4 linked regions of the Oreochromis niloticus genome follow. The protein of the gene in region 4 interacts with the protein of the main gene of each other region in a pairwise test. Links are inferred from orthologs where the notes say so. Each region holds a gene or a part of one and is shown on either strand. Other genes may lie near its edges. The genes, in order: esd, coro1a, pbx3b and fsd2.

What was found.
Region 1: the proteins of fsd2 (region 4) and esd interact in binary tests that used the Homo sapiens proteins (3 or more experiments, as listed by UniProt). The two-hybrid records come from large-scale screens. The link is inferred for Oreochromis niloticus from reciprocal best matches to the Homo sapiens genes FSD2 and ESD.
Region 2: the proteins of fsd2 (region 4) and coro1a interact in binary tests that used the Homo sapiens proteins (3 or more experiments, as listed by UniProt). The two-hybrid records come from large-scale screens. The link is inferred for Oreochromis niloticus from reciprocal best matches to the Homo sapiens genes FSD2 and CORO1A.
Region 3: the proteins of fsd2 (region 4) and pbx3b interact in a two-hybrid assay, tested with the Homo sapiens proteins (3 studies listed by BioGRID and IntAct). The two-hybrid records come from large-scale screens. The link is inferred for Oreochromis niloticus from reciprocal best matches to the Homo sapiens genes FSD2 and PBX3.

What each region holds. Positions count from the first base shown.
Region 1 is NC_031987.2:29,737,919-29,745,804, reverse strand, and holds the start of esd (S-formylglutathione hydrolase), read right to left. Parts: upstream 3,020-7,886; 5' UTR 2,864-3,019; intron 1,452-2,863; exon of another isoform or gene 1,368-1,451; intron 1,269-1,367; 5' UTR 1,262-1,268; coding exon 1,194-1,261; intron 1,077-1,193; coding exon 988-1,076; intron 1-987.
Region 2 is NC_031969.2:29,278,335-29,286,175, reverse strand, and holds the start of coro1a (coronin-1A), read right to left. Parts: upstream 3,002-7,841; 5' UTR 2,851-3,001; intron 1,732-2,850; 5' UTR 1,726-1,731; coding exon 1,528-1,725; intron 145-1,527; coding exon 22-144; intron 1-21. UniProt on the Homo sapiens protein: May be a crucial component of the cytoskeleton of highly motile cells, functioning both in the invagination of large pieces of plasma membrane, as well as in forming protrusions of the plasma membrane involved in cell locomotion.
Region 3 is NC_031977.2:11,506,176-11,513,926, forward strand, and holds the start of pbx3b (pre-B-cell leukemia transcription factor 3b), read right to left. Parts: upstream 3,017-7,751; 5' UTR 1,714-3,016; coding exon 1,466-1,713; intron 870-1,465; coding exon 790-869; intron 1-789. UniProt on the Homo sapiens protein: Transcriptional activator that binds the sequence 5'-ATCAATCAA-3'.
Region 4 is NC_031965.2:13,696,079-13,703,635, reverse strand, and holds the start of fsd2 (fibronectin type III and SPRY domain-containing protein 2), read left to right. Parts: upstream 1-4,554; 5' UTR 4,555-4,861; intron 4,862-4,928; exon of another isoform or gene 4,929-4,954; 5' UTR 4,955-4,983; coding exon 4,984-5,166; intron 5,167-5,426; coding exon 5,427-5,522; intron 5,523-5,745; coding exon 5,746-5,979; intron 5,980-6,141; coding exon 6,142-6,164; intron 6,165-7,017; coding exon 7,018-7,139; intron 7,140-7,393; coding exon 7,394-7,557. Other genes in the region: whamm (WASP homolog-associated protein with actin, membranes and microtubules), read right to left, coding at 1,835-2,008, 2,051-2,063, 2,124-2,260, 3,672-4,247.

The sequences.
Region 1 (7,886 bases), on a different chromosome or scaffold from region 4:
GGTCAGACACCACAGAGTGAACAAAATTACTGCAACAATTAGTGCGACTTGAGATCTCGTTGCCTATTGATTGGGAGACCAATCTGTAAAAAAATCCAGTGCACTTACCTGGAAATCACAGATTCTTCCTCGTCACAGTCCAATGTGACTGAGGCTTAATTGTTACCATCACAGTGAACTTTTATTTTCTTTATAGATTTTCACAATTTACATAGCTATTTCTATATCCCTAAAAAGCTAATATAGCCATGTATTTATTACCAGATTTGCTGTTATGCCACCACCTTTTCACCCTTACATTTTAAACATATCTCCATTACTTTTAGCAAACAACTTGAGCATTTTTCAGTTAACCCTTAACCCCTAACCCATAGCCATCTTTTTAGCCATTACTTTGAAGCTACTCTTAAAAAATGTTGCCACTATTTATAGATTTTTTTTCATTGGATAATAGATTACTTTACGCTGTTAGCTACTTTTGGATATTGATAAATACACATTTTTTACATTTTTAACAATTAAAAATATTGAACAACCTATTAATTGCTCTCAGCTATTTGTTTCTTTCAGCAAACAATTTCTCCACTTAATTTTAGCTAATTCTGTAGTCCATAACTATACACCTATCGCTTTCAGCTAATCATTTAGCATGGTTAGCAAACTTAAAAATCTTAAGCTAACAGGTATAAATTTGAGGGTAAACTCTATAAATTAAAATCATCATCATGCTCTTTTTCTCTTTTTTAACCAAATTGATACTAATTCCAGCTTTTTGCCCTCTCAGGTCTATTTTCTCTTCTCCAGTTAAACAAACAATGCATTGCTTAGCACCTGTCATGCATTATACGAGTCAGGATGTTCCTGTCGATTTATTTACTAAGCTTTTAAACAAGAGAAAACTAATTAACTAATCTAAAAGACAGAAATGTTTAACATTTACAGACTTTAATCTAATGGATCAAGTTAAACAATGACTCAAAAACTCACCAGAGAGCCAGTACATGACGGGACACTTGTCGGTCTCAGCCTTTGGAGGCAGATAGACTGCAAACTTCATCTTACACTTCAGCTCAGTGCTGCACAGAGTAAATACAAACAAGTTAGTGCACTCTTCTGTCACATTTATACACTTTTACACACATGAGAAAGTCACTGAAGGTGAGGCCAAAGGAGTGTCTGAAGATGTGTCACACCTTTCATGTTCAAAAACCTTCTGGAAGCCGCCAGCGCACTTGTTGGAGGACACTAGTGTGAGGGCCATCTTTGATCTGAGGACATACAGCAGCAGAGTAAACGCAAACACAGTGTACTCCTGCTTAAAGTAACTCAGACTACATCCATCCCACATTACTCAACTTGCCATGTACCTTCTGTTTGCAGAAAGCGGCCAATTAGAGGAAAGCAGGGTTAAAGGGGGTTGTTTCAGTCAAAGGATGAGCTGAGAAGCTAAACTGAAGCAACATTTGAAGTAAATACAGGTTATTTCGATCATGAATCATACTGAGCTTCTCTAGCTGAGTCTAGGAAGATCGGGGGGGGGGATATAGAGCTAGAAACTAGCAAGTCTTTGAAATATGGACTGCCTGGCTTTCAGAATCAGAATCAGAATCACAAAGGGTTTTATTGCCAAATGTTGAGCAGGTTTACAACATTAGGAAATTGCTGCGGTACTTAGTGCAAACATACTGTTATACAACTCTTAAATAGACATAAAAATAAGAATTAAAAGTGCTAAGAGGATAGATATGTACATGAGTGCAAGTGGTGATCAGTGCCAAACATGGAATGATGCAGTGAACACAGTGTAGGGTCATGTGTTAGTGGTGGGAACAGTCATATGGTTATTGTTCATGAGTCCAACAGCAGAGGGGAAGAAACTGTTCTTGTGGCGAGAGGTTCTGGTGCGAATGGACCGGAGCCTCCTGCCTGAGGAGAGCAGGTCAAACAGATCAAACAGGTCAACATATCCTACTACACCCTAATCATGTGTAATACAGTATTGTGATATAACTGTTAGTTACTGTCCACTTGGATTGACCTTGGCTTAGTTGTTAAAACTGTTTATTAGCAGCAGCACTGATAATAAGTCAGGTTAAGCAGCATTCCCATTTAAAAGAACTGTAACACTCCATACATGGCTCCATGAATGAACAGGTAAACGCTCAGCACCAACCCGAGAACCTTTCCATAAATGAGGCCCCGGATTTGATAAGCACAAATGCAGGGAGTCCAAACAGTAACAAGGTAGATGCAACTGATGTCGAGGTGGTTGTGAATAAGGTTCAGTTTAACTGGGACGGCTAAGAAGCGTCCGTTACTTTTCCACTGTACTCACGAGGCGACGTCGCTGCAAGTACAGTCGGCGAACTCTGAGAAAAAGCGATAAGTCTCAAAGTCTGAGGCAGCTGCAGCTAACAGAAAATGTCAAATCTGACCACAACAGCACCGAATACAACCACAGGTCAGTCTATAGGCTGCTGTCACCCTCCAGCCTTGGCTTAAAATAAAGATAACCCCTGGTACTAACGACAGTGACCAGGGCAAAGCACGCACAGTACAACATTTAACCCAAATGACGTCCTGCATGATGCCGAATTAAACATAACCGCTTCCTATACATGCAACATGTCTTTTAAACCATTCACACTAAGCTTTTATTAAGATTATACCCAGACGGAGTTAAAATGGTCAGCAATACAATACGAGTTTGGCGTGCAACAAATCGGGGGCGTGCAGGGATTAGCAAGTAAAGTTAGCCCATGTAGATATCTTTGAGTGGCATTTTTAATTTCTGCTTAAAGTTACATAAGTGAAAACACGGATACGCGGCAAAGCAGCAGCAGAACACATGACTAACACATACCTTATTAAATCAATCAGTTTATCAGTGTAACTGGATAAATTGCTAACGTCCCCGCCGATGCAGTGCAAAGCACCGAGTCCACAGTACGACAACGTCAAGGTTGACGTGATGACGCCACCCCCTAGAATTGTGCAGCACTTGACGTAACCCTAGATAGACGCTAGATGGCGCCGGTGTTTATCAGGAAGAATGCTGCACTGCTAGTCACAGAGCAATAACCAGTAATACTTTTAACAATATTGTTAAATTATAATATCATGTTGTTTATAATATAATATATGTTGTTTATTATAATATCTTTATTTTACTTGTTTATCGGAATAAATTCTTAATATATTAAGAATTAAATCATATGCCTAAATCATGTATCATATTTTAGGAATAAAGCTGTAACATTATAAAACAGTAAAACAATTAAATGGCAAAGGTCTCAAAAGTAGGTTTTTTTCACTGTTAGACCACAAGATAGAGGCTTTTCATAGTGTCATGTTGTAATAGTGTACTCATTCTAATTAGTTTGGATCTGTAGGTCTACATAATTTGTAGTAAACCTGAGTGTTTTAGGGGGCACCTGCATTGCCCATGAATGGATGCATTACTCAGACATGTAATAACTGGTAACCTCTCTTTTCCACTTTTCAAAAGCAGAAGAAATCTCACTCTATGATCCAAGATAGACAGAAAATTGCATTTCTCTTCCTGTTATTTGTTTAAATTGTGTATGAAGTCTCGTTTCACTCCAATAAAGTCTGTCTATGTTTATCTGATTGTCTCTGTATGTGTGTAATTCTGTTTCTCTGCAACTCTCTCAGTCTGTTTTTACACCACCTCCCTAACTCCCTGCAGGTTTGCATCTCCTTTACTTTTCCGTCCATATCATCAGTTTTTTCCTGTAATCTTCACTCTCTTTTACCGTAAAGCACAACTTAGATTGTGAATTATTTATTAAATACAAACAGAGTACACTAATACTTGTGCCCAGTCTGTCTCTGCAGCTGCTTCCTAAATTAGACCATTTCAAATCATCCACCACCCCCTCATCCTCCCACCCCCCAACTGAAAAAAAAAAACACAGATTAAATTCACTCAGCAGCCTCAAATACACTCCCAACATGATTATGGTTACGCCTGCAGCCATGTGCTCTTGAGGACTCCATTGAAAACCGAATTTGTCACACACAAACAGTTTTCCTGCTCGTAATTCCATCGTTCACACAGTCGGTCAGGTGGAAGGGAAAAAAAGTAACGTTTCTATAAAAGAGATAATATTTTCAAAAGTAATGTCATATTTTAATAATTATGCCACAATTTTATTTTGAGAATAAAGCTACAATTTAGCATTCCAGATTTACAAAAGTACTGGGAATCTAGTCTTTATATATTAAATATTCACAGATACCTAGTTCAACTCTGAAGGCTAAAAGAAAAAAATGCTCTTCAGTTTTCATATTATTATTTGCTCGTGTATGAGATCAGCCGATCCCTGTGTCATCCCAGTAAGACTAACATTTTGCAGTCAAATCCATTGCTATAAAAGCATCATCAGGTGATGAGAGCTGATTTGGCTTCTCTGCGATGCAGAAGGCAGAGCTTTTGTCCCTGCATACGAAGTGGGGCTTTCATCAGTAATCAGCACCGTGACTTGCTGTGGAAGTGCAGGTTAACTACTGTTCTTTTGCAAGGAAGAATCTGACAATCCTTAAGATCTTATGTTATTTCACATCATTTTCCTTTATTTAACCAGGTAAGATGTCACTGAGAGCAATATCACTGACCAAGCATCTAATGTTAAATATATATATCATACAGACAATTACACAGTCTATGATTAAAGCTAATGTCAAACTGAAATTTGATGATAGTGTACAAATAAGTGGTCAAAATGAAGTACAGAAATTAGATTTAAGATCCTTTCCTTACTGGCGTCCACCACCATTTGCAGATCCCTCCAGCAGAATGGACCAACACATTTAAATGGTTTTATATCATGTATGATGAGTTTATAATGGAGGAACCAAGTGAAGGACACAAAGGAAGGCGAAATGAAACACAAGCAAAACAGTTTGTTGGCTGTTTATCAGTTCCAGTTCTTCCTTGTTCTCCAGACTTCTTGAAGGACATTCAAAGCTCTTCTTTGGATCTTGGCTGCCTTTTGTTCTGTTCTCTGTCAAGATGATCCCACGCTGCTTCAATAACGTTGATGTCTGGGCTCTGAGGAGGCCAATCCATGACTGAGTGTGTCTAGTCTATAAAAGTATGTTTTTACTGCATTGGCAGTGTGTTTGGGATCACTGTCATGCAGAAAAATGAAGTTGTTGCCAATCAGATGCTTTCCAGATGGTAATGCATGGTGGATCAAGATCTGACATGCTTTTCTGTGTTTGCAATTCAATCAGTTTTGACAAAATCCACAACACCCCGAACAATGACGGAGTCTCCAATGAGTTTTACAGACGGCTGTAGACATCCACTGATGTATTTCTCGTCTGACTTCCATAGAAGTGAACTAAAATTTTCAAATTTGGGTTCATCACTGCATTAAACCTGCTGTCAGTGATTCCAGTCCAGCTCTCATTTCCTTCCTTAAGAAAGGCTTCTTGACAGCGACCCTTCCATTGAGACCATTTCTGATGTGGCTTCAGGGATCAGTAGTCACGTGCTCTACATGGTAGATTGGAAATGATTGGGCTAAAACTGCATAGCTAAATGTATATAAAAGCATCCACAGTCAATTTATAATCACCAGTCAACCTCAAGAGTATATTGAAGCTCAAGCACTCAAAGAGAACCCACCCATGCAAACCCAGCTGACCAAGTGGGTTTGCATTAGATAAGATATATGAAGTTTAACCGGAAGGTTGCCGGTTCGATCCCCCTGCTCTCTCTGTCATGGTCATTGTGTCCTTGGATAAGACACTTCACCCTACCGCCTACTGGTGTTGGCCAGAGGGGCTGATGGCGCGATATGGCAGCCTCGCTTCTGTCAGTCTGCCCCAGGGCAGCTGTGGCTACAACTGTAGCTTGCCTCCACCAGTGTGTGAATGTGAGAGTGAATGAATAGTGGAATTGTAAAGCGCTTTGGGTGCCTAGAAAAGTGCTATATAAATGCAATCCATTATTAGTAACTTTAATCTGCAATCTGAATACGTTACTGGAGTAAAATGAGAAATCTTTAAATATAGCAAGTCACACTACGCAATGTTCCTTCGCAGAAGCTCAGGTTGACCAGGCTGTGTTCACCTGAATGTCTAATGCAAAGAGAGAAGGCAGAAAATCTGCTTCTCTTCTTCAGAATAACTTTTTTAGTTTTACAAGGGTTTTAGCAGCTTGCTAGGTACACACACAAACATTCACATGTACACACGTGCACATGTTCTGCTGAGAAACCTTTGATCATGGTATTCATGTGCATGGTTAATTACCGCTATCCCCACCCAACAATCAGTGCTGCAGATTGTTGGCTCAGTCCAGCAGGAAAATACACGCAGCGCACCACAAAAACTGCTTAGGAATGGCTCATTGAACACAACATACTGCCCGAGGTGTTGACCCAGCCTGCAAACGCTTCACATTCCAATTCGACTGAGCATCACGATCCACAAGCAAACAAGCTGCTCCCACTGGGCATATGCCAGACGCCATAGTACACCCCAAGAGGTCCCCAGCAGGTCAGCTGTTTGTGAGAGCATAAAAGAGGCCCACACAATATTACACAGGTAGCTTGCTGCTGTACCACATGTGCCCGAGAGAGAACAACAGAACAATAACGCAAAGAGGGCAGAAAAGCACACACACACTCACACATACCGTTGTCATGAATCCCACTCAAGCAAGTTATTGGATTCTGTTTCAGTCTGATTAAAATCACAACATCCTGACACGTGCTGACAGACTAACGACTGGCTTCTTCTCTATACTGTGAGTTTGTGTGTTTTGTGTGCTGGCGTCACTTGTGTTATGGGTGTCTGTTTACAGTCAGGTTGGCATGTTAGGGGGACTCGTTTGGGGAAACTGTCAGGGCTCCAGTTTTCACAATACAAAAAGACCGAAGACTTCCACAGGGAAACACAAAAGACCAGAAAAATACTCAAAATGACAACAAAGGGATCCAGAAATGATTACACAGCGACAAGAAATTACCACAAAAAGACGGGAAGAGCACAAAGGAATACAAACTAGGAAAAAAGACACAAAAGGCAACAAAGAACTGATCTACTGCTTAGGAATAATGGGGCACACAAAAATAACACTCACATGTTGATGTTTAGTAGGTGAATGCTTAGCATGTTCACTCGTTCCCTAAAGAACACTAGCTTTGGTGCTTAAGTAGCTCATCCCATTTGAGTTTAGCCAATAGGATGGCCATCAGCTGATATCAGGTAGCACTGAGATCAGCTGATACTCGGGATGAGATGATTCTCGGGCTGCCAGAACCAAAGCTCTGCTTGATTAAAGCTCCAAGGGGTGTGAAATATGCCAATAGAGTAACTGTCGACCGTTTCAGTGTTTGCATATAAATGATGAATTAAAAACCCATAAGAAATGAAAACATAATTCAGTTTCTATTTCCTAATTCTGTCTATTAATAAGGAGCTAATAACTGGATTGGACATGTGATCTTTTAATTACTTCATTTAAATGCAAATTTAATTAATCAATTCATTGTTTTAATTGGCTTTTAAAAATGGTAATTTCATTTGACTGATAGTAAATGAACACTGGAAAAGTTTTTAGTATTCCATTGCTTCACTCTCGACTCAGGCAACCACACAAAGACACAAAAGCCAGACCAGAGAGAAACTGCTAAATGAGAAACACAAAGAAATGCAAAACATCTACAAAAAAGCACAGAAAGAAATGAGGCAGAAAACAACTGCAAAGATACATAAAGTGACACCCAGGAGAGAAAAAAAAGTCTACAAAGGTGTCTTGATGCATGCTCAATCATCCAGGTAAGAAAATCCCAAAAAGTTGATTCTGTTCAGCCGCTCACTGTGGGCTAGTTTCATTCATTGTGCAAAGG
Region 2 (7,841 bases), on a different chromosome or scaffold from region 4:
TGTCAGACTTTATTGCCTTACCATGACACTGCAGTCCTCAGAGCCACTGGCAATGATGTTGTCATTATGAGGACAGAACTCGATGTCCAGGACCGGACCCGTGTGGCCACATACAGTGGGGTAGGACATGTCGATACGTCCTGTCTGCAGAGGCAAGCATCAGGATAGGAGGACATTGACTATGACTCATGCATGCAGTGCAGAAAACACTGCAGCTACAAAACGTAAAGAGCAAAGAGCAAATGGAAGAAAAAGAAGACAAAGCTAGATGAGGAGAAGTTTATCAGCTGACACCAATTACACAGCTTTGCCTTCAATGAGCGCTCATTTCTATTAAGTGGGTTAAAAATGAGATCAGGGCCAAGAAGAGGAAACCCAGTCATGAAGCTGTCTGGGAAAAATGACAATTACACATCATTTTTATTTTTATATTTTCCATTATAAGTCAGTCACATTTAGCTCCATGTAGTTGAATTCATTCTGGTAAAACCTTAAAAAAACCACTGGGCCCTAAAGCAGGATGACACAACCATGCCAGCATCACGTTCAAAACAGGATGAGTTTTTTTCCACTACAGCGCAGCTCTGCAATTTTATGCCCACTGGTCCCTGCACTTATTTTTGTCCTTTGAGAATCGCATGCTAGACGCGAGATAAGACCATGAATAATGTGATTTCTGCAGGCTTCACAAAGGTAAATTTAAGATCGTTTAAAATCGCCTTTTTAATACCACAAAGTGGGACAATATAATTGTCAGGTAAAATAAGGACAAGACGTTCAGATTCTTGTCACTTTCATTTCTAATGATATAATTAGTTGCAGGAGATGGTAATTAAGTTTATGCTAGGAGACAGTGATCTCTCTGTAGCTAACTGCAGCAGCAAGCAGCAGTGACATTATTCAGTGAAAAAAGAGTAGACATCTTTCTGAAGTACAGTCTTCACACCACAATCACATAAAAAACACCTGACCTCACTGTAAGCATTTTCAGTGCCTGCACACAACGAACTTCCCAAGCCCGAGTGAACACAAAGGTGATCAGGACAGACACTTCACTGAATTCACAGCCTCTGACAAATTCAGCTGGCCATTAACTCGGCTACAAGGTTTGCAATTTTGCACTTTTTCGGGCACATAAAATGCAATAAACGAGCTGCAAGCCCTAACCTAACGCCCTCTTTAAGTGACTGCACAATAAGTGGGTTGAGGCCACATCCTGTCCTCCTACACTGAGCTGACAACAAACTCCTAATATGGTGAAAACTTCTCAACAGCAGAGCAAGTGACGTGTAGACAGACTCAAAGACAGCATCAAACTTCCTTATTTAGCTGAATGTGTGATGGTGACTGGCAGCATTCAAATTTTAAAGTGCAAGAATGCTGCTAAAACAAAATTTAATCCCCAACCTGCATCTGTAATAGTTAACACACCTAAACATGGTATTAAGAGAAGTATATAAAACAGTATAGAGCCAAACGGTGGGTTTATTTGTGTTCTTTTGTTTCCTGGTGATTCCTGTGACCCACCTTGCTCAGCGGAAGCACCATGAAGGCTCCCCCACCGCTGGCGTCCACAATCATGGCCACAAACTTGGGGTTAACAGAGCAGAAATTGCTGTCCCAGGTCATCTGGGAGATTCGGATGTCATCGTAGCATTGGTCAGCTTTCACAGCCTGGCCAAAGACGTGACGGAACTTGCTGGTCCTCACAACCTTTCTGGACATGGTGAACTGAGAAAGAATGAAAAAAAAGTGCGCAAAGAGGAGAAAATTAATGTGCAAGAAGAGCAAGAAGTCTGTAGCAGAGTTGAGAGAGATTTATTTTATGGGTCATCATAAATCATATTGTTTGTTGGTGCTTTTTGATTTCATGCGGAAATAATCTGACAGACACAAAGCTGATGAAACCGTTGAAAGACTCAACAGAGGAAAGCTAAAAAAGGAAGAAGCAAAAGCTTTCACAACTGCTTCCTCTGTGACTGGTACTCTGGCACTCTATCGCCTTCTCTTTTTAATATGTGTGTATGAAACACAGAAATATTAAATAGCAAGCAAATGTACAAAAAAAACAGCAGAAAGGAAACAAAAAAGTAGGCCTTTTATCATCTAAAGCACATGCAGTGTCCTTAAAAAAGGTACAGAAGCTGCCCGAGCGGCAGTTACACCACATCCTACAAAGAGAGTAACAAAACCACAAACCTTTCTTTCCCTTAGTTCATACAGTCATGCTGTTATTTAATTCCCCGCATGTAGGGCATGCTTTAAATGACATATTTGACGAAGTAAGCTGAAACATATCCAGTAAACGCATGTGTCTGTGTGCGCAATGAGATCAGAACTTCAATCAAAAGCAGCTGCAAAATATACGAACTTTGCATCACGCAGGAACAGATGAAAAGCACTAAATAAGTCTTTCTTTACCTCCATTTGTAGAGTTTACTTCCTGAAATCTGCAGCCGCGCCTAAGCTCAGATTCGGTAGCGTATGACAGTTAGTTTTGCTGCATGTGCATCACAAGACCTCTCGGGCTTCTCTGCAGCTAATTTAATAATCCTTTACAGAGTGAGCCGTAATTTTATCAGGACTCTAAATGCATGTCAGTAATCTGTCTCGACCACTATCTCTCTGTGTTGTGATGGAAAACATTGACCAGTACGAAGTAGGAAACAATTCACTGCCTTGAAATAGGAGAAACTCAAGGCCATGTGGAAGATGAGAAACAAAAATGTGTCACTGAAATTAATGACATACGGTTAGCTTCAGCTATTTCCCTCTTTAACCAATGCACCGATTGCAGGTAAGATGATATCTTCAAGAGGTTGAGACTGCAAAGAGATGATGTGGGCCTACCTGGGAGTCGAGTGGGGGTGATTCAGCTCAAGGAGTTTTGGCAGTGCACCAAACGCCCTGCCACCAGAATGAGAACACGAGAGGAGACTGTAGGTTAAAGTACATGACAAATGACAGGGAGGAAGTGAGAGTTTCAAACAAGGTGGAAGTAGGAGGTGTCGGCTGTGACATGTGCCGTCTGCAACAAGCTGCAGAAACCAAAGTGAAACACAGGGCACTGCATGAGATCTTTTGTAGGATTGAATCATGATAAAAGTGTCTAGCGGTGCAATGCAGAGTTCAATCCACACTTACCAACAACGGCAAACAGATGCAGGCCACTGCTGCTTAGAAGTCACCTGATTATCAGAACCACTTCACTTCCAACAACACAGATAAATGCAGTGTGTCTGAAGAGCTCACAGAGTTTAAGTTAAGAAAAAAACTCAATATTTTCTTCAGTGATGGATGTCAGTGCATGTCTGTTCTTTTTGACTCATGATTTCTGCAGATATTAGAGTTAAATACTCTATAAGAGGCTTCTCATCTGCTGCTATTATTTTATAAGATTTATATAAGGCATCAGACAAATCCTAAGACAGACAAAGAATCCTAAATTTAAATATGTGGGAGCAAGAGCAAAGATGGTGGTAAAAAAAAACAGTTTTTAAGGCCTAATTTTCAGTTTTTAAGCAGTTTCTCGAGTCTAACTGGGGACACCTGCAGTTTACATGCTGATGATTGCAAATGAAATTAAAGTTATTTAGATCATGTTTCAAATAACCTGTCAGAGTCTGAAGACTTGAGACTGGCTTCTTAAAGGACCCTGAATTTCAGGTTAACCCCTAATCTAACCCACTTTATTTACATATCACATTTACAGCAAACTGTTCTCACACCAAACCTAATTAGACTTAAACTGGCAATCAGCTGTTTTTACACATGATGCCACTTTATTAGTCATGATTACTCAGCCTGTGGAAAGGCTTACTCTTACATTATGGGAAATGAGGGATGCTGTAATTTAATAGTTTAACCATTGCAAGAGGTTAGCAAAGAAAGTAGACAGGAGTGCTTGGAGGCTAGGTGTAGTGGAAACTGAGGGGTGGCAAAGGCTTGGTGAGTTGTATCTGAGGCTGGACACTAAGGAAGGAGAAAATGACTTGGTATTGATCGGCTAGGCAGAGAGATCGAGCTGGAAAAGATGTGCAGGGTGATTAAGGAAAGAGATGAAAATGTACTTATGAGTGAAGAGAGAGTTGAGAAGGTGGAAGGAGTATTTTGAGGAGCTGAGTGAAGAAAATGGGAGAGAGGAGGACAGTTAGTGAATCGGGAAGTGCACGAGATTAGAAAAGAGGAAGTCAGGGCAGCCATGAGAAGATGAAGAGTGGAAAGGTGGTTGGTAAAGATGATATACCAGTGGAGATGTCTGGGAGAGAGGGAAGTGGACTTGATAGATTGACAGATTGTTTACCAAAGCCTAGGAGAGTGAGAGGATGTCTGAGGAAGGGAGGAAAAGTGTACTGGTCCTAAAGGGCAGTATAGTCAGGTTTTTTTTGCTTTGAAGAGAGTTGATGGAGAAGTACATAGAAGGTCAAAAGGAGCGTCAGTGCATCTTTGTGGCATATGTTAAGGTGCTAAGAGAGGAACTGTGTTGCTGAATGAGGAAGTCACGAATGACAGAGAAGTATGTGTGGTGCAGGACAGAATTCAAAGTCTGTGTGGGACCGCTGTGAACCCTTTCTTCATTGCAGTGGTGATGGACAGGCTACCAGATGAGGTCATTGAGGAGTCTCCATGATTTATGATGTTTTTAGAGCACATTCTGATCTGTAGCAAAAGTAGGGAGCAGTTGCAAAGGGAGCCTGGAGAGGTGGAGGTATGCTCTGGAGTGAAGAGCAATGAAAGTCAGTAGAGGCAAGGCAGAATATCTGTGTGGATGAAAATGAGACAGGTGCAAAAAGGGAAGATGCATAGGCTGAGCAATTTGTAGGGGCAAGGCTGAGATGGTTTGGACATGTGCAGAGGAGGTGAGTGGATGGTGAACATGGAGCTGCCCAGCTGGAGGGAAAGAGGAAGACCACAGAGAAGAGTCACAGATCTTGTGAAAGAGGGTTGGTGTGACAGAGGTGATTGCTAGAGACAAGGTGAGATGGAGGCACATGATCCCCTGTGGTGACTGCTAAAAGGAGCAGCCAAAGGAGAATCATTTGAATGCATGGGCCTCTAGGTGTGCTCTTTTAAACCTCTTTTAAATCCTTCAACTATAAGGAAATGCAATACTCAAACAGCAGGGAGAACTTTTCAACTCCTAAAATTCTAAACTTTTATTCTATAAGTTTTATTATAAAAGCAAACTCAGTCTAATCCCTGAGTAGCAGAGCTAAAGCACTTCCTGTTTTTTGTTGTTTTGACAGAAAACCTCATGCACACATGTTTTTACACTTGTCCTCACAAGTGTAAAAACATGTGTGCAAATGACACTCACATATCATTTGGTTTAATGCAGCAGAACTAGGACAACTGTATTTCCTTACCAGGGCATGCCTACGTCACATTGGACTATAGTACTTTTTTTTTCTGGGAAAGCCTTGCATACTGCAGCAAGACAATGCAAAACCACATACCACATTTATCACAGCAGCATGGGTTTATAGTAGAAGTGGTTAGTCTGCAGTCCAGGCCTTTGACCAATGGAAAACATTTAGTGTTATGAAACCAAAAATACAACAAAGGAGACCCAGGACTGTTAAGCAGCTACAATTGTCTGTCAGACAAGAATGGGGCAACATTCCTCCCTCAAAAGTCCAACCTCTGGTGTCCTCCTCAGTTCCCAGAGGTTTACAGAGTGTTGTTTAAAGAAGAGAGGATGCTACACAGTAGCAAAAATGGCCCTGTGCAAGCTGTTTCTGAGATATATTGCTGCAAACAAACTCAACATAAACTGATTTATTTCTTAAAATGTATTTCCCTTTGCAAATACCAAAGTCCCCCAAAAAGAATTGATAAAAAATAAATAAATAAAATATAAAATAAGCTTTAATTTCAATGCATGGAATCACCAGTCAAATATAGTAAGACCAGACTTATAGTATTTACCAACTTTGGCCCCAATAAAGATTTTAAAACATTTTATTTACTCTGGAAGTTACACTATAGTACAACAGAGTATTAGGGCCACATTAAGAAAAGTGTCCATTTTGAGATTTAAGATGAAATTTCAAGATTAAACTCAAAATAGTATTTTGAGAAAAAAGTCAAAACGTGAATATTACAGTTGTCATTTCAAGCCAGACAACTGCCACGGCTCCTACAACCCTCTACAAAACCTGTAGATGAGTTAGTGAAACATCTGGACCAGCTGTGATACAGCATACATCCTCTGTACTGGACAAGGGCGTAACCATCGATATCCTTGCCACTGCCAGCCTTTTGTTCAAATCTGCCCAACTCTTCTACTTTTGTGTGTTTTTTCCTTCTAGCCAGATGCAGCTTTATGCACCGTCTTTTCAACATCCTTATACTTATAGCCACAATGTGTTTATGTGCTAAAAGAGAAACTGATTCTGACATGGCTGAATTCATGTGGTTTGTTGAGATGCAACTTTGACTGGCAGCTGTTTGAATGTTTTACATCTGTGAATAATCTGGGGTGTACAGTATACAGTACAGTTAGATATCAGCCTGTGTGTAGGTAATTCAATTAAAATCAGCCAAATCAGAAAAAAGATTCCCACCTGACCCCCTTCTTGTAAATGTTACTTTGAATTGCACCATTTTCACTCACACATTTGTAATTCTTTCAGCAGACAGAATCTCAAACTTAAATCTGACAACCATTTAAAAATGAACATATAAGAATTAATTTTGATACAAGGGGAATCAGAGGGGGGAAAAAAAAATCAGGTTGTTTTGGACGTATCAGAACAAATCCAGGTCTCTGTCACTCTACATCCTAGACAATAAACTGTTCAAACAAATTTAAGGAACGCTTTTTAATCAGAGTATAGAATCAAGTCAGTTGACTTTCTGGGACATTCGGTGCCAGTTTAGCTCTGTGGGTGAGCAGGCGACCCCATGCTGCGTGACCGGGTTTGAGTCCAACCTGTGGCCCTTTGCTGCATGTCTGTCCTCCTCTCTCTCTCCCTGCTTCCAGTCTGTCTTCACTCTTACAATTCAATGAAGGCAAAAATGTCAAAAAGCCCCCGCAGGATCGCTATCTGATGAGCAATGCCAGAGCCTCCAGCAGGCCACTGGTGTGAGGGCTGGCCTGAGGGCTTGACGCCCTCTAGTGGGCTCTGGCAGACATGACAGAGTCCGGAGAATATTATGCAGCCTCTAGCGTCACTCAGCATCACCGGTTTGGTGGTCGACACACAGACCTCTACAGGCTCAGCAGTGATAACCGAGATAACGGGATGAAAGTTTTGAACCCACTGTCAGACTACACTGGTGTAGTGTGTCCTGCAGTTCCTGGAGGATGAAGAAATTGACACCATTGACTGGGCCCCACACTCATCTGACCCAGTTCAATTGAACACTTGTGTGACATTATGTTTTGGTCCATCCAATGTCGCCAGATTGCACCTCAGACTGTCCAGGAGCCCAGCGATGCCCTGGTCCAGCACTTGATGGAGATCCTCCAGGAGAACCACTCTGAAATGCTGCAATGACATTTTGGCTACCTGGACTAGCCTCCCACATAACTTTTCAGTGTCTTTGAATTCATAATTTTCATCTCCATCAAATGACATGGCATCCTTTCGTTCCAGTCATATCGCTGTAGATATCCAGACTTGATTTTGTTTCCCAGTGAGATCTGATGTGTTTTTAATTTTATTGAGCAGTGTACACATCCCGTGATACTGATGCTCAAAGTTGAAAATTGTTCTGAACAAAAAGGAGATCTAAGATTTAGATAGTGACACCTGAAGTGCATCCACCACCTGAAAACTGTCTCTCTCCTATAGTTAGCCGCTGGAAAATATTAAAGGATTAAAAGCATCTATGTT
Region 3 (7,751 bases), on a different chromosome or scaffold from region 4:
ACACAAAGTTCAAGCTATAAAAATTATGACACAAAACTTGTAATTACAACTCTCAATAATATATGAATGAAGTGTGTGTGCATGCTAAAGGTTTTCAATCCTAGTCCTAAAAAAACAGAAATAACAGAGTTTATGCTCATATAAATATATAAAAAGAAGATTTTTTTTATTATTATTTCACAATCCCTTTCTCTAACTAAGCTTCCAGGAGATGTGTTGTTTGCATTTTCCAAGATCAACCATCCACCTTTGCAGGAAGGCTTTCATACAACTGCAATCGAATTATGAATTTGCGAGCCTGTCGTATAATCTGACTAATAAAAAAATCTCTTATAAGTTGATAGCAAAACGTTGTCAGGTTTTACAGCATGGATTCTGTGTGATCTAGGATATGTAGAGCATATGCTACGGGACTCCCCCAGCCTCTTCACTGGCAGGGTGGTGAGTGTGAAATCTGGAGCGCACTTTATGTTCAAATCCAAGCAAACCAGTGCTTTAAAACACACTTGCATAAGAAAAAAAGAGCATCTTCAGTGGAAGAAGACTCTGCCTATTGTTCCGTGACAACGGGAGTTTCTGAGTGGTACGGTGACATATTTTTAAAAAGTGACTGATTCATTCGGTCAGAGGTCACCTATAACCTGGATGCAGGCTGTCATCAGCTCACTGAGAGGTAAAAAAATAAAATAAGAAATGCCTGTGTGCTTTTATTGATTCTCCAATTGCATGTATCACTGTAACGATGGAGTTTATAGTTTGATATTACAGTATTTTAGACAAAGATCTTACCTGTCTTTTCTTTGATTTCACAGAGAACGCTGAAGAGTGCTGGTTTCATTCTGTGACAGTTCAGTCCGTGTTTCCTGTTTCAGTATAAGAGAAAATAAAATACTGAAATAAGTTCAATGATAGTTCACATGTCTGACACAAACAGTTAAAAGGGTTGGACACGCTTTTAAGTTTAGTTGCCACTTTAATAATGTTCCAATGTTCCAAGCCTCTTCTTCAGAAAGTTAGCATTTTCTTCTAAAATGTATAATGTGTCATGCTATTTTTATTGGGGGGTTTTTTAATAAAAGCATTTCATAAATAACACCAAGCCCTAATGTAAATATTAGTCTCAGTGGCAATTCCCTGCATAACATGAGCCCACTGGCATTAATTGTGTTTCAACACCACGTAGACTTTTGTAGATGAATGAACATTTATAAAACACGTGCTCTCTAGGACAGTTTAACTAAAATGCTGTGCTTCCCTCAGTGGCAACTTTCACTGTGTTAAAGCTTTGCGAGGCAATAAATACACCTCAGAGTGAGATTATCATTAAAGCCACTCCAGCCTATTGTTGTGCATTGGGGAGTTAAGTTAAACGGGCCACATCTCAATAATGATGCGTTCGGCGTTTTTTTTTTTTCTTTTCTTTTTTTGGTGTGGCGAAGTTAATAAAACATATAAATCAACCAACTTTGCTTGCGCCTCGTCCAGACTTTGATCAGTTATGGTCATTATTTGATGCAGAATGTCACCAATGTCTTGTTTTCTTCCGTCTCCGTCTGTCCCATCGTGTCCATGTGGAGGCGGCAGTGCCATGCCTCCTTGTACCGAGTGGCCAGCCAGACTGACACCGCCGATCGACTGCATGATCCGGGCTTGATCGTCCATAGTAGCCGCTAAAGAGTCTGTGCACTGAGCCACACAAATTGAAAAACTCATATACGAAATCGGCTACAACATGTGCCGCAGACTGGAAGGATGTACGGTTGTGTGATTCTTCGGCGTTAGGCAGCACACACGCGATTTTTGTCAAAAATATGCAGCAGTTTTTATTATTATTATTATTTAGCGTAAATCTTGTGTCCAAGTTGTCGTCGCTTTACGCGCGGTCCAAAGTGCCAAAACGCTGATTTTGGCTGTGTTTGTAGAAAATCGCATAAATATTTTTTTCTCTTCTTCTTTAAAACTTGTTTGTCAAAATTGACGGTCCATCACATCCCGCACGGATCCTCATAGCAATCAGTCTTTTCTCTGGGTTTTGACGGGCGGTAGAGACAGAAACGGTCCTTGGTGGTCTCTCATTTATTAACGCTCTTCGTGGGATTCCCGGCGCATTTCCTTTCGAAAATGTCCAAATCCTCCTCGTGAAGCACCGGCAACAAAATTAAAAAAAAAAAAAAAAGATATCCGCTGTGAAAACGTGTAAACAAATAAAAAAAACAATCTTAGGCTCGCAGGTGTCAACTATAAATGTGCAGAAATTATCCCCGCGACAACTGACAGTATTTAAAAAAAAATACACAATCTGCAGCAAGGTTTCCAAATGTGACTACAAAAAATATGAAATGTACAAAAAGTTGGGAGATTTCTGCCTAGAAAAAAAAGCAACGGCGAGAAGAAATTAATTAGGAGACAACGCTGTATAAAGGCGATGCGCAAAAAAATATCTTGCCCTTCTGAAATTTATGAGCTCCAGCCTCTGCCTGTGTGTGTTTTATGTTGTTTGATGGCAGCGGTAGTGAGCGATTGACAGTGTGCCAATGCCACTCACTCAGTGCAGACGTGTCAGAGCAGGGAAGAGGGCAGGAAAAAAAATAATCACAAAAAAAAAAAAATACAAAATACGAAATGAAAATGCACGCTCCGCCCTGCAGAGGAGGGGTCTATATTCTTGTCACTTCTCGCCTGAACACCGAAAAACAAAATGTTAAGCGCTAGTACTTAGGATGGTGATTATAATGATGAAAGCACGGCTGAGTCCCCTCTCTTTCTTGCAACAGCGGCAGCAGGGTATCCTCGTTTCCTCACGCGTGCACGTGCAGCTATGTGCATATTCTCTAGCAATAACAAAGATTTAGCTCTGCAGCAATACAAGCAAACACATAATGAGAGTTTTTATACAGTTTGATGTAGAACTGCACAGTCCCTTGTAAGCCTCGGTTCAAGCCAGGCAAGCAGTAGACATGTTTATATTATTGGAAAGTAAAGCTCCTCGACCAATCCCGGGCGAGAATGACGAAGACTGACGAGCTCCGCGTCCTATGCTGGCAGATGCATGATGCCGAAAGCCCACCCACTTCATCCCTCCATCTTCACCACAGCTCTTACAAAAGGATGGGAACTTCTGATTGGTCGTTGCTACGAGTGACATCCACTGCACAAGCAGGCGGCGCTGCTCTGTGCTCCTTCGCAGTTGCTATGGCAGCAGACAAGTTGTTGAGCCGGAGGAATGGCAGCAAATATACAGTGCACCTCTACTATAAGCATCGAGATCAGAAAAAAAAAAGAAAATAGGGGGTTTCCCTTCAGTTAAAATGAATTCAGCGATAACGTGTAGGAATAAAGGATGTGGACAGAGTTTTATACGAAGAAAGCACATTTTCAAAGGAGGGCTTGTGTTGTGCAAAGACGTTAATGGTGAACTTTTGATGAATAGGCTTTGCTTGGTTCTGATTACCCTGCAATGAAGTGACAAAGTCACATAAACATTATTTAAGCACGGCCGTGTTGCAATATATGGTCTTGTTTGCTCAAGTGAGTTGTTAAATTCTCCACCAGCCACTTTTCTTCCACCCTGACATCACTGAATAAATGACGTCTAAGTAGTTTAAAGTGGCCCATCCAGTGTTTCACTGGACCTCTGAAAAAGCAGAAACGCTGCCTAAAATGCTATTTATTACTTCTGAAGAAAAGTGCTATATCCAGTTGGTAACTGTGTTCAAAGGTGAATGTGCAGCCATCAATAATGGAAGTGGGAGTTTCAGCAGGCAGCATGGTGGTTCAGCGGTTAGCACGTCTGCCTCACAGCCAGACTCCTGGGTTCAAACTTGGGCAGAGCCCCTCTGTGAGCGCACTCTTCCTTTACGTTATGCATGATTTCTCATAGTAAAATAATTTTTTTTAAAAACTAGCCTGCTGATTTGTACTGTGGACGCAAAGTACTTTACAATATACCAGGATGTAGCATGATTCTTCTAAAAGCACCTTTTAGCACACTGAGTGAACATGTGCATTTAAAATATCTATTTATTTAGTTATTTTTGCACAGTTAATTTCATCAAAATACAAACAGGATGTTCTGTATAGTCAACATCTGCCTGTAATTTTGACTATGTTGCATGTGTACATATTTATCAGATTTGGAATTAGCTTAATTCATGAAACATCAAATGTAGAGAAAAACTGTAACATTTTTGCCAAAAACAATCATAGATGTAAAAAAGACTAAATCATGCATGTGCAGCATGTATATCACTCTTTTAAGCAAAATTTAAAAGTAAATAGACTTGCAGAATGACAATAAGTTTATTTGTTTTTGTCATATATCTGTTTGGTTTTGCTTATTTGAAAGGTTTATGTTGACCTGCCCTGCGTCTACAGATGTAAACTACCAGTTTCTCTGTAATGTGACATCTTTGCATTTTAAACATGTCATGTATAGTTGACAAATATACATATTTGGTATATTGATGTTCATTAAACTGTGTTGATCCTTTTAAATAAAGAGAAAGAGATTTTTTTAAAAAAATGAAAAAGAGCTCATTCATTTTATGGAAAATGTAAGTCTGAATTTGATGAACACCAGAAGTTACTGTGACATGGAAAGTTGGCATCATGTTCAACTTGTGAGTCTGTCAGTGCGTCATCATGAAAAACTGTCTTCCTGGAGACAACTACTGTAGCGGAAACTACCACAAAAGCACTTCTGAGTATTTTGGCAGGTGTTTGTATGTCTGTCTGTGGACAGATTTTGTCAACACGGCAGTGTCGCAATTGTACAGTATAAAGCTTCAAAGATTTACAGATGTGATGCTGAGCTCAAAATGAAGGCAGGAATCAAAGATGTGTGTTGTTTGACCAATAGAGGGACTGCTGGGGGCTATGGCAGCTTCACAAAATACCACCTTCTTCTTAAGCTTGAATATGTTTGTAGCTCCCTGATTAAGTGTCTTTGTCATTTATATGAAAGTTTGATATCTACTAGTAACAGCTGATATTGTTTTAACCTTGCTCTATTTGTCTTTGTGTGTACGTCTACCTGTGTGTGTGTGTGTGTGTGTGTGTGTGTGTGTGTGTGTGTGTCACTGTGACAAAATGTGGTCGTCAAGACAATGTTGCAGAAACCACCACAAAGGCGTTTTTTAGTGCTTTGGCAGGTGTTCGTCTGTGTGTCTGTTGACAGATTTTGTCAACATGATAGTCACAACTCTGCAAGATGCAGTTGCAAAATATTATAGGTGTGTAGCTGACACTGGAATAAAGTAAGAGACTGACTATGGGTTTGAGACTATGGCTGTGGACTGTGGAAATCTCGCTGATGTGATCCAGTGTGTGGTCTTTACTTTCTCTATGGCAAATATTCAAAAACAGCGCGTTATAATAGTGATGTCACACATAGCTAACGCATTTTAAGCTCTGATGACACCTGTGAAAGTTACCTGTCTCATATAGATGGTAAAGATAGATACAATGTGGCATGACCATATTTTACATCACTGCATTATCTGTTCAGCATTATTAGAATCATCTTATTACTTCAGGAAGTGCTCCTTTTTGAATATTTTCCTGGCAGCTGTCAGGGGTCCACGTAATACTGTATTAAAATAGTGAATAGTTTTAGCGAATGATTCATCTTCATGAGTCAGAACTCAGTTGTGAAAAGGAAGCAACTTTTACTGAAAGAAATTCGTTTGAAGTCATGATACGGTGAGTCATTACTTAAAATAACTTTTCAGCTTCTGATTTTCTTACTAGAATAGGTCAGAAAACCTTACCTATAAATGAATATATAATTGTTTCACAATAAAATCGACTGACGTGGTCAAGTTAAAGGAAATCACTGATGCTGAAAGTTTGCATTAGTGTATCTACCAAATTCCAAAGTTTGAAATGTTCACATCACAATCAATTTCAACATGTGAAGACGAAAAAAACTCTAATTTGTCTTTAGTGGTCTGTGTGGTTTTGCTCATTCATTTGACCTTGAAGTATGGGAGCAATGCACTCCTGAGTTTAGTGAATGGGAGTCCCAGGACTACTGCATTTATCATTGAAATACTGAGCTGTCAAGTCACACTGCATACCTGTCAAGAGGGGCTCAAAGGTACGGCTCCGACTCCTCTCCTCTGTTGCAGTGCATGATTCTTCATTGCATTGCATAGCAGGCCTATTCGCCGTTGTTTTCAGCCATATGTCAACATAATTCATTTCCGTATGTGACAGCTCCTTACAGTAAGACACTGTGGGTCTACTAGTTGACAAAACCATCTTTACATAACCGAGGGGTTGCGCTAACCACTGCTGCTGGTGTGAAAACAGTGCAGGTCAGTTTATCTGAGGAGAAATAATTTAGACGTAATTTGACATGTTGTTTCCACAAGTACTGCATATTAGGTTAAATAAAATGACAATATTTTTACAAATGTGCTTAGCGAGGCATAGGAATAAGCACCTATGAGTGCAGAGACAACACTTTGTCATCATGCTTCTCATCGTGACATCTGAAAAGACCCACAGGTGCTGTGGAAAGTGACTGTGTTGTCATATTTCATTTAGGCATCCTTCTGCAAAGCTGTAATTGCCTAATTAGCTTGTTAATTAGGAGATTAGCATTTACTGATAGAGTGGCTTGCTCTGTTGTGATGAGAGTAATACAGATTAAGTGAGAAGTTATGGGTGCATGAGTTCACAATTTCGCTGTCCACAAAAAGGGTCAGAAATCATTAAAGGATTTGTGAAATCACCGGGTGTAGTGCGAGTGAAGATGTCTTTTCTCCCGGCTTCCTTGTATTTGAATTGGTGTTGAAGAAGGTGAGAGAATGCAAGAAGGCAGCCTGTCACGGAGCGGCGAGACACTTCCTGTTCTGAGTGTCGCCTGTATGATCCCCTGTTGCTCAGGGAGATTGAAGGAAATGACCTAGCAGACGGTGCCAGGGATATTACTAACCCAATTATAAACAGCCTTTCATCTGGTTTGGATATTTTATTTATTTCTTGATATTTGTCGCTGCTGTGCATGCAATTCATCTTCATTGTGCTTGTAAATGTTAGAGTGGATAGAAGTAGCATGAATATTGGTTTAATCTGCAGGAAGCAGTGCCATTAAACATTTTGACGTATATGCTTCTGATGCGGGTGCAAGTCAGGTAGAGTCAGGTTACTTTTATTCATGTAACACACGCTTCAACAATACAAATACACACAAATATCCAGGATGGGTAATACACATAAGGCAGACACAACATGATAACTCATAAACACAATGAAAAACTGAAGTAGAATCAAAAAGTATGTATGGAGAAAGTATTCACATCCTTAATTAAATTAAAAATCCTGCTTTCCAAAGCATTGTCAGCAAAATGTACTTATAGCACCAACATTAAAAGTATTCATTATGCAGGACTGTGGCTCTCGTTAATTGCATTTTCATGAAGCACTTTTAAGTTGAAGCTCATCGAGGAGGAGTTGATTTTAATTGCTTTATGTACTGTTGAGTGTAAAAATAAAGCTACTTACGTGTTTTGGACATAAAGTCTTCTTCTGCAAAGAAATTAGTGGAGGCTTTCAAGTGAACTTTAAAATACAAATGCAAAAGAAATAGAAAGCAAACTGAACACAGTCTCAAAAAGAAAATATAGATACAAAAGTACTAGTAAATAGTAAATATTGGTTGACAGTTTACAGGAAATACTGTATGTGAGGTTAAACTAATAAAACGTGATACCTCTCAACCATGTTTCTGGTACATGACAGAATTT
Region 4 (7,557 bases):
TCTCCCTAATTTCCTGATACTCTTTACGGTCCTATCAAAATAAAGGCTAAAAATTCCCTTAAAAAAAATAATGTTCTTTCACCTACATCACAGAGTTTGAGAACCACATTAGACATAGTGATGCAACAGGTCAGTCTATTCATGAGTGCTGTGTGTGGCTCAGCAATAACAAATGAACCAGTTAAGAGTGAAAAAGACCTTTATGTGATCACTAAAGGACATATAGGTCAGTGCTGTGCAAAAGTCTAGAGCCACCTCTCATTTATTTATATTTTGCTTCCAAGGAGTCAGACTTAGAGAACACCTAACAATGACACATGAATTACTGAAGCATGGACCAGTGTTTACACAGAAGAGACAACTTAGTAAAAAACATTTTATTCATTGTGCTATTAGCTGAAGACTTAGCAGCAGCTCAGCATCATGTACAGTGTGTCCTTAAAAGACTGGGTAAGTGGAGGACAAAAGAAGTGGCAGGTCTAAAATCTGTCGACAGCAGGTAAACAGCATGTGGAAGTCATGTCTTTAAGAAACAGGAATACATCCAGGAAAGTCCTGACACAGGACCTGAGAGATCCTTGTGATGTTTTAGTTGATCCATCTACTGGTCAACGAAGTAAAGAAGCAATTCTTAAGAAAGGGAAACAAGAAGAAAAGGCTGAGGTGTGCCAAATTACATAAGAACTAGACTGACAAATCACTGACAACAGATCTTATGGAGTGATGAACCCAAATTTGACATTTTTGGTTCAAATCACTGTCGGTGAGTGTTTACAGTCATCTGTAAAACACGGTGGAGGCTCCGTCATGGTTCGGGGCTACGTTTCATTCAGGGGTGGTGTTAAAAATAATGGAATTATGAACACAGAAAAGTACCATCACATTTTGGTCCATGTTATCAAGAAAGCGCCTAGTTGGCAACGCCTTCCTTTTTCATCATAACAATGATCCCAAACACACTGCGAGTGCAGTAAAAGTATACCTGGATAGAGAACCATAATAAAACACCATCAGTCACAGACTGGCCTCCCCGGAGCCTGGACCTGAACTTTACTGAAGCAGTGCGGGATCAGCTTGACAGAGAACAGAACAAAAGGCAGCCAACATCCAAAGAAAAGTTTTCAATGTCCTTCAAGAAGCCTGGAGAACTATTCCTGAAGGCTACTTAAAAAAACTACGAGAGTGTTCAGGCTGTGTTGATTAAACTTTGTACAATTCTAACAAGCTTGAAAGTCAATTTTGCCTCACATACTGTATTTTTAGATATGTTTATATGTTTTGATAAATCACAAATGCGGGGGGGGTGCTGGAGCCTATCCCAGCTGTCATAGGGCGGGACAGGTGTCAGTGGACAGGTCGCCACTCTAACACACAGAGACAGACAACCATTCGCGCTCACATTCACTCCTGCATTCACACCTATGGGCAATTTAGATTAATCAATTAACCTATCCCACGCAAGGAAACCCACGCAAACATGGGGAGAACATGTAAACTCCACACAGAAAGACCCCGGGCTGATGGTGGAATTGAACTCAGGACCTTCTTGCTGTGCGGCAACAGTGCTAACCTGCCTGTTTTGATAAATCACTGCACCTATTTCACATTTTCCTAGCAAAATATAAAGAAATGAGGGGTTGGCTCAAGACTTTTGCACAGTATAGTAAAAAAACACTTTAAAGCATTTTTTCCACTGTCAAAGAACACTTTACATTAAACATGTACCATAATCCTCCCTTTTCATTTTCATCAAAATCTTAACTTTCTGATATCAACACTAAGTGCATCCCCTGCATGTTATCGTGTACAACATTCTAACAACGTGTGTATTTACAAGGATGTCCATCTTGTAAAGGCAGGCCAGCTCTCTCATGTCCCTGAAAGGCTGCAGCAGGTACTGGAAGAAAGTTGTGGCGACAGTCGCCAGGTCCTGGTAGGCCTCGTCTTCTTCCTCATAGATGCTGAGCAGCACGACCATCCTGTCAGCACCGCTGTGACTTTGTAGCAGCTGTGAAGATGAAAAAACATAAACACCATGATCCGGGTTTACCCTGAGCCCACAGCTTAGTTTTGCTCTGTATGACTTTTCATACTCAGAATGAACCAATCCAATCCGTGCCGGCTAACATAAGAGTCGATAACTAGGCCTTTCAGAATACAACTTGGGTGGGCTGAAGGTAGACTTGTGAAGACACTTCAAGATGAGGTTGGTGGTTGAACACCACAGGGATTCTTGGACCCGGTTCTCCGATGTTGACCACTGAAGTCAAACAAATTCAGGTCTTAAAAAACATTTTATGTGAGAGTGATGAAAATAGTGATGAAATATTTGGAACTGAGACGTCTTTTTGGTTAAGAAAATGTTAAATCGCTTGGATTCAAAATATGTAAATAGTTGGAAAATCAAGAGTTATCTATGCCCTGACATCTTCCAGCATACAAAGGGAACATGTTTGCTTTAGATATCAAAAACAATCAACACAGCAACACAAGCCTGCATCTGAGACAGCATAAGCAAAAGCTGGATATGATTTCATAAAGGTATCATATACAGCAGATCCGTAACAGTGGTTTATGTAGACATAATACCGACACTGAGTACAGATTCTGATACATTTAATCTACTTGTAGCGGTGCCATCAACAGTTTTTCTTACAGGTCCACTTGCTCATTGTTTCTGTTACCAATTCTTGATCAGAACCTTACATCTGTGTAAGGAAACAAACCAGCACAACAAGCACATTTTCAGCTCAGCGAGCTACATCATGATGCCTGTGGAAACAGGTACAGTGTGGGCATGTAAAAACTCAACTACCATAACTCAGACCACATTATTTTGATAAAAGGACATGATAAGCTTGGAGGCATGCATTCCAGCGATCTCCAGTGGATCTCAAATGGAACTAGATTTCTGCTTCAATGTCCAGCTGACGTATTTTGCTCTTCAAATGCCTCATTGGTCTATTGGCTGTCATTTTACTGCTTTTACTTCCATTTGCATGTGAAACAAACTAAACAGAGCTAAAGGGTCAGGTTGCAGGTTAAAGCAGCAAACAAGAGCAAACAAAGACCAGTGCTGGTGTTGTTGCAACATCTAGAGCCTTGGCTGGAACAGCAGCTGTGGTTTGCTGTGTCATGGTAGACCTGATTTAGGCCCACACCACAACTGAGAGGTGCTAATATGGCAGACTAGACCTTTAAACTTCTTGGGATTAGAGAGCATGCAGTCTTTTCTCATACTTCAGGGAATCATGTTTTTAAGTGCATCTAAGGTGTTGTAAGACTTCTCCTATCAGAGGTGGGGCACCAAGCAGATACAGGGCCAGTGTTGCCGATACCAATGCCAATACTTTTACCCTATAAAATGTAGATTACAAAGGGGAGAGCAGTGTGCCATGATTACTGATTGATTCATCATTAATTTACACATTCTGAACACATTTTAATGACCACTAAATCACTGTGATTTCTGCTTTCCACATTAATTAGTTAACACAACGTGTTTGGAAACTGATTTTCTGGAGACCTGGAATGTAAATGTGCCTGCCTCTAAAACACATTTATTTAACACAATCCAGTAGGCAACATACTGCACTTAGGGAACAGAAAAAGTCTCAGGCCTATCGCGCTGGTATCGATATTAGATCAATCCGCCCACCTCTACGCCTCACCTGTCTCAGGTGACCCTTGGCCCTTGACATCTCCTCCTGCAAGCTCTTCTTTTTGAACTCCTGTAAATTCTCAAAGTACTCCTCAACATCTCGGTCATCCTGTGCGAACAAGGTGTCGAGAACAATCTTCCGTCCGCAGAGGTCAATAGCGGTGCTGAAATACTTCTCGAGTTTCCTACACGGGGTGTCATAGTCCCTCTCGTCGTCATTGTCTGGACCTGATCTCCTACTCAGGAAAAGCAAGTCCCAAATGTTACCCTCTTCAAACTCCGTCAAATCCGGGAAGCAGCCTCCCAGGACGTCGGCCACGCAGGTGAACTGCTGGTGGACGTGCTTCAGATCGCTGACGGAGAAGAGTCCTGCCCAGCTCATCTGAGGGTCGTCGGCGGCAGGCTCGGATTTGCGCTTCTGCCGCTGTAACGTCCGGTTGTGGCAGGTGACGGCGAACTTGCACTCGATGACGTTCCACTGTACGATGAAGCCCAGTTTAAACGCCTCATCTTCCTCAAATATGTTGCTTTTAACGGCCACCCACCCCTCCAGACTGTCTAGTCGCTCACACTCTATGCTGTTCATCTTAAAAAGAGATGTTTCACTCTGGCCCCCGAGAAGCTGCTGGCTCTGTTTACAACGTCCGCCATTTGTCTGACGTCAGTTGCGTTCAACAGCCCCGGAAGTTATCGGTCAATATGAGCTAACGGTTTTACTAACACAGATATCTACCCTTTAAAGAATACGCTGTTTTGACATAGAATGGTAACCACGAAAAACCCAGCCTGGGTCACTAAGAGCAGGCGGGTCCCAATGCAGAAATTTCTAATCCAATGCGTTTGATGCGTCTTGAATTAAAGTTTACGAGGAACCTTGAATGCACCATAAGTCTCTGGTACTGCCTTTAACTTTGACCTTTTAATCACATGTTCGGGGATTTCCAACTCCTGAAAATTAAAGCATTTTACTTTTAGTTGTTGTTCCTTTACAATGTCAGCAAATCTCAGACCTCTGCGGACTTTCAATCACGTTTAATGAATCTATTTCATGAATAACGAACTTCCGGCGTAGATGTTTGGCATGCCTGTGAAATGTGAGCAAACACAGTCCCATCTATTTCTGTCACTGCTGTCCTGCCGGATACTGCTGCTGGCCTGAAAAGGTTGTTTAAGAACCAAACAGCTCCCTTAATTTTCCAGGTAAATTTGTTATCAGCTGCTTGCTCACTATAACAGTTCTGCTTTGTTAAATTCTCCTCCGATGCAGTTTCAGAACATTAACGGGTACTTAAGCCTCAGTCCTCCCCTGAGTCCTTGTCATCATGGACTTGTATGAGATCAGAGGAGGCAGGCTGGGTGTGATTGCAGAGGAAGCCGAGCTCCAGGAGTTAAGCAGAGAGTCTACTGCTATGGAGACCTACAATGTAGGCTCAACTCCATCTCCCACTGGAGCAGAAGATGGAAGTGATGGTGAGGAGGATGCTTTTAAGGAGGGAGAAACTGAGGTGAGGACACTAACTAACTACCTCTATTCAGCCACAGTCGTCTCACTGCATTTAATCACTTCTCTGAGAGAACGCCAGTGTGAATGGTAGCACAATACAGAAGAGTAAAATGAATAGCCGAGTGAGGGGAACATCTGATTAAGATACACTCATAGTAAACAGCAACATAAACTCTTAACTGTTAGCCCTCATCGTAGTCTGTGTTGCAGGTTTGAATTAAATGCGGAAAGAGCTCAAGCTTGTGTTATGACTGCTTTCAGGGGGAGATCATCTTGATTCGCGATCAGCTGCAAGAGAAGGTTGCAGAGATGGAGAGCTTTGCTGGTCATCTGGAAGAGATCTTCCTTACAGTGGAGGTACTACTCAAACGTCCAGTCTGATCTCCTTTGTTTTGACATAATTTTACTGTTTTATTATAATATGAATATGCAGAGATGCTTTTTTTTCTTTTTTTACTCATAGACAGTAATAAAGTCATCACAAGCCAATTTTATTACATCAAATTCTTCATTTTTCTTTGTTCTTTCCTGTACAACAAATGTGTTACCCTCTAACTCTGTCATATTATTGCACGTACAGGAGAATTTTGGCCGTCAAGAGCAGCACTTGGAACAGCACTACAATGATGTGCTGCAGACGCTGTCTCAGCGACAGGATGAGAGCGCGGCAAGGTTGGAGGAGGAGAAGAAGAGTAAGCTGGAAGCCTTGTACGGTCAGCTGCTGGCCTGCGGTCGGGCACTCGATGCCTCCAAGGAGCTCATCGAGACAGCGCAGGAGGTCTACCGCAGCCAGGACAAGAGGCTTTTCTTGAAGGTGATAAATGATTCCACTGGATCATATTTGCAGATGGCCCCAAAAATAAATAAATAAATAAAACATGGCCAGCTAATGCAATTGTGGACATGAAGCATTGATTAGCATTTATTCATTCATTTATTTTGCTATTGAAGTGATTTCTTTGGATTTTATTGACAGACAGTTATGCCCACAATTAAAAGGTAAGCATGAGGCTGCACAGTGAGTCTGCACGGTGTGACACTGCAGGTGTGATATTAAGAGACCGAGCATCAATAACATGTGCGATTTGTCTTCCCTTTAGTTTCAAACTAATTTTATTTAACTCTATATATTTTAAAATCCCAGCTGAAGATCCACTTACTAAACTTAGCACAAAAAGTAAGGAAATTTGTATTTGGTCAACAATTCTTTTTTTTGTAAGGTTGCTTCCTGCCAATAAATCTTATACGTCGGAAAGCCTGTTTATTTCCCCTTAAATGTAGCCACATTTATTAGGGAAAATGCATTTGTGGGCTGAGCAGCAGAGTTGAGTATGTGGGTTGCGCCTTTGAAACACTTGCCAAATTTCCTCTGCCAATACCAGTCAGCTTATTCTGCCACTGACTCTTGTTTGGTGTAGTTTATTGCACTGGATGATTAAAGTCTGAAGAAACAATTTATTCATTTAACAAACAGGGCCCTGAGTAGCACGTGGAAGATCCACACACAGCCACAACAGCCTGGCACCTCCTCCTCATGCTGGTCACCAGCTTGGTCACACACTGCTGTGGGATGGCATCTCAATATGGTTGTGTTGGCTGACTTGCGACAAATGCTGTTAAACTGACAATATGTCTTATTTCTTCAGACTTCAATCATTCATGTTCATTCATGGGCACAACCCACAGACCCAAACTCCATCCACTGTACAAAACATGCTTGCATGCTTGATGAAAAGCACGTAAAGTATTTATTTTATGGTCAAACTTTGAACATTGTAAGTAATCATTAGCCTGATAACGCACTGCACGCTTTTTAAAATCAGGGCTTTTTTTTTGTTCTGTACCACACTAGAATCGAGGAGTTTGCCAAAGATGAGGTTGACCTCACGCTGTCTACAAGTCTTGAATTCAACACACCGCTCGCTGACCTGTCAGATGTCAAAACCATGATGGACTCGATCAACGTCGTTCCAGGTCTGAATCTACAAATCGCCTCCTCTGGTTCACTTTCCGCCACCTCCTCTGTCACTTGAAAAATACAAATCTAGGAACACGCCGTCTCTTGCGTCACTGAAAATGAGAATCCTAATAATAGGAAGCACACAGAGGTGTCAGTGTTGAGCTTCAACCAGAACAGAGCTGTCTTAACATTTAGATTTTTGTACTCTAAAAAGACTTCTTGATAACTGTGCTGAATTTACAGTGAATCTCTGTCAAACAACCCCCAGCTCCATCTGCCCCAGTAATCAATCCCCAGATGCCCAACTCTGCCACTCAGACATCCCTGCGTGTGTGCTGGAGCTTGTTCTCTGATGACACGGTGGAGTACTACGAGCTTTACTACAGGCCGGTGCTGGAGGACACACCAGCAGACAGTGCCTTCACACCGCAG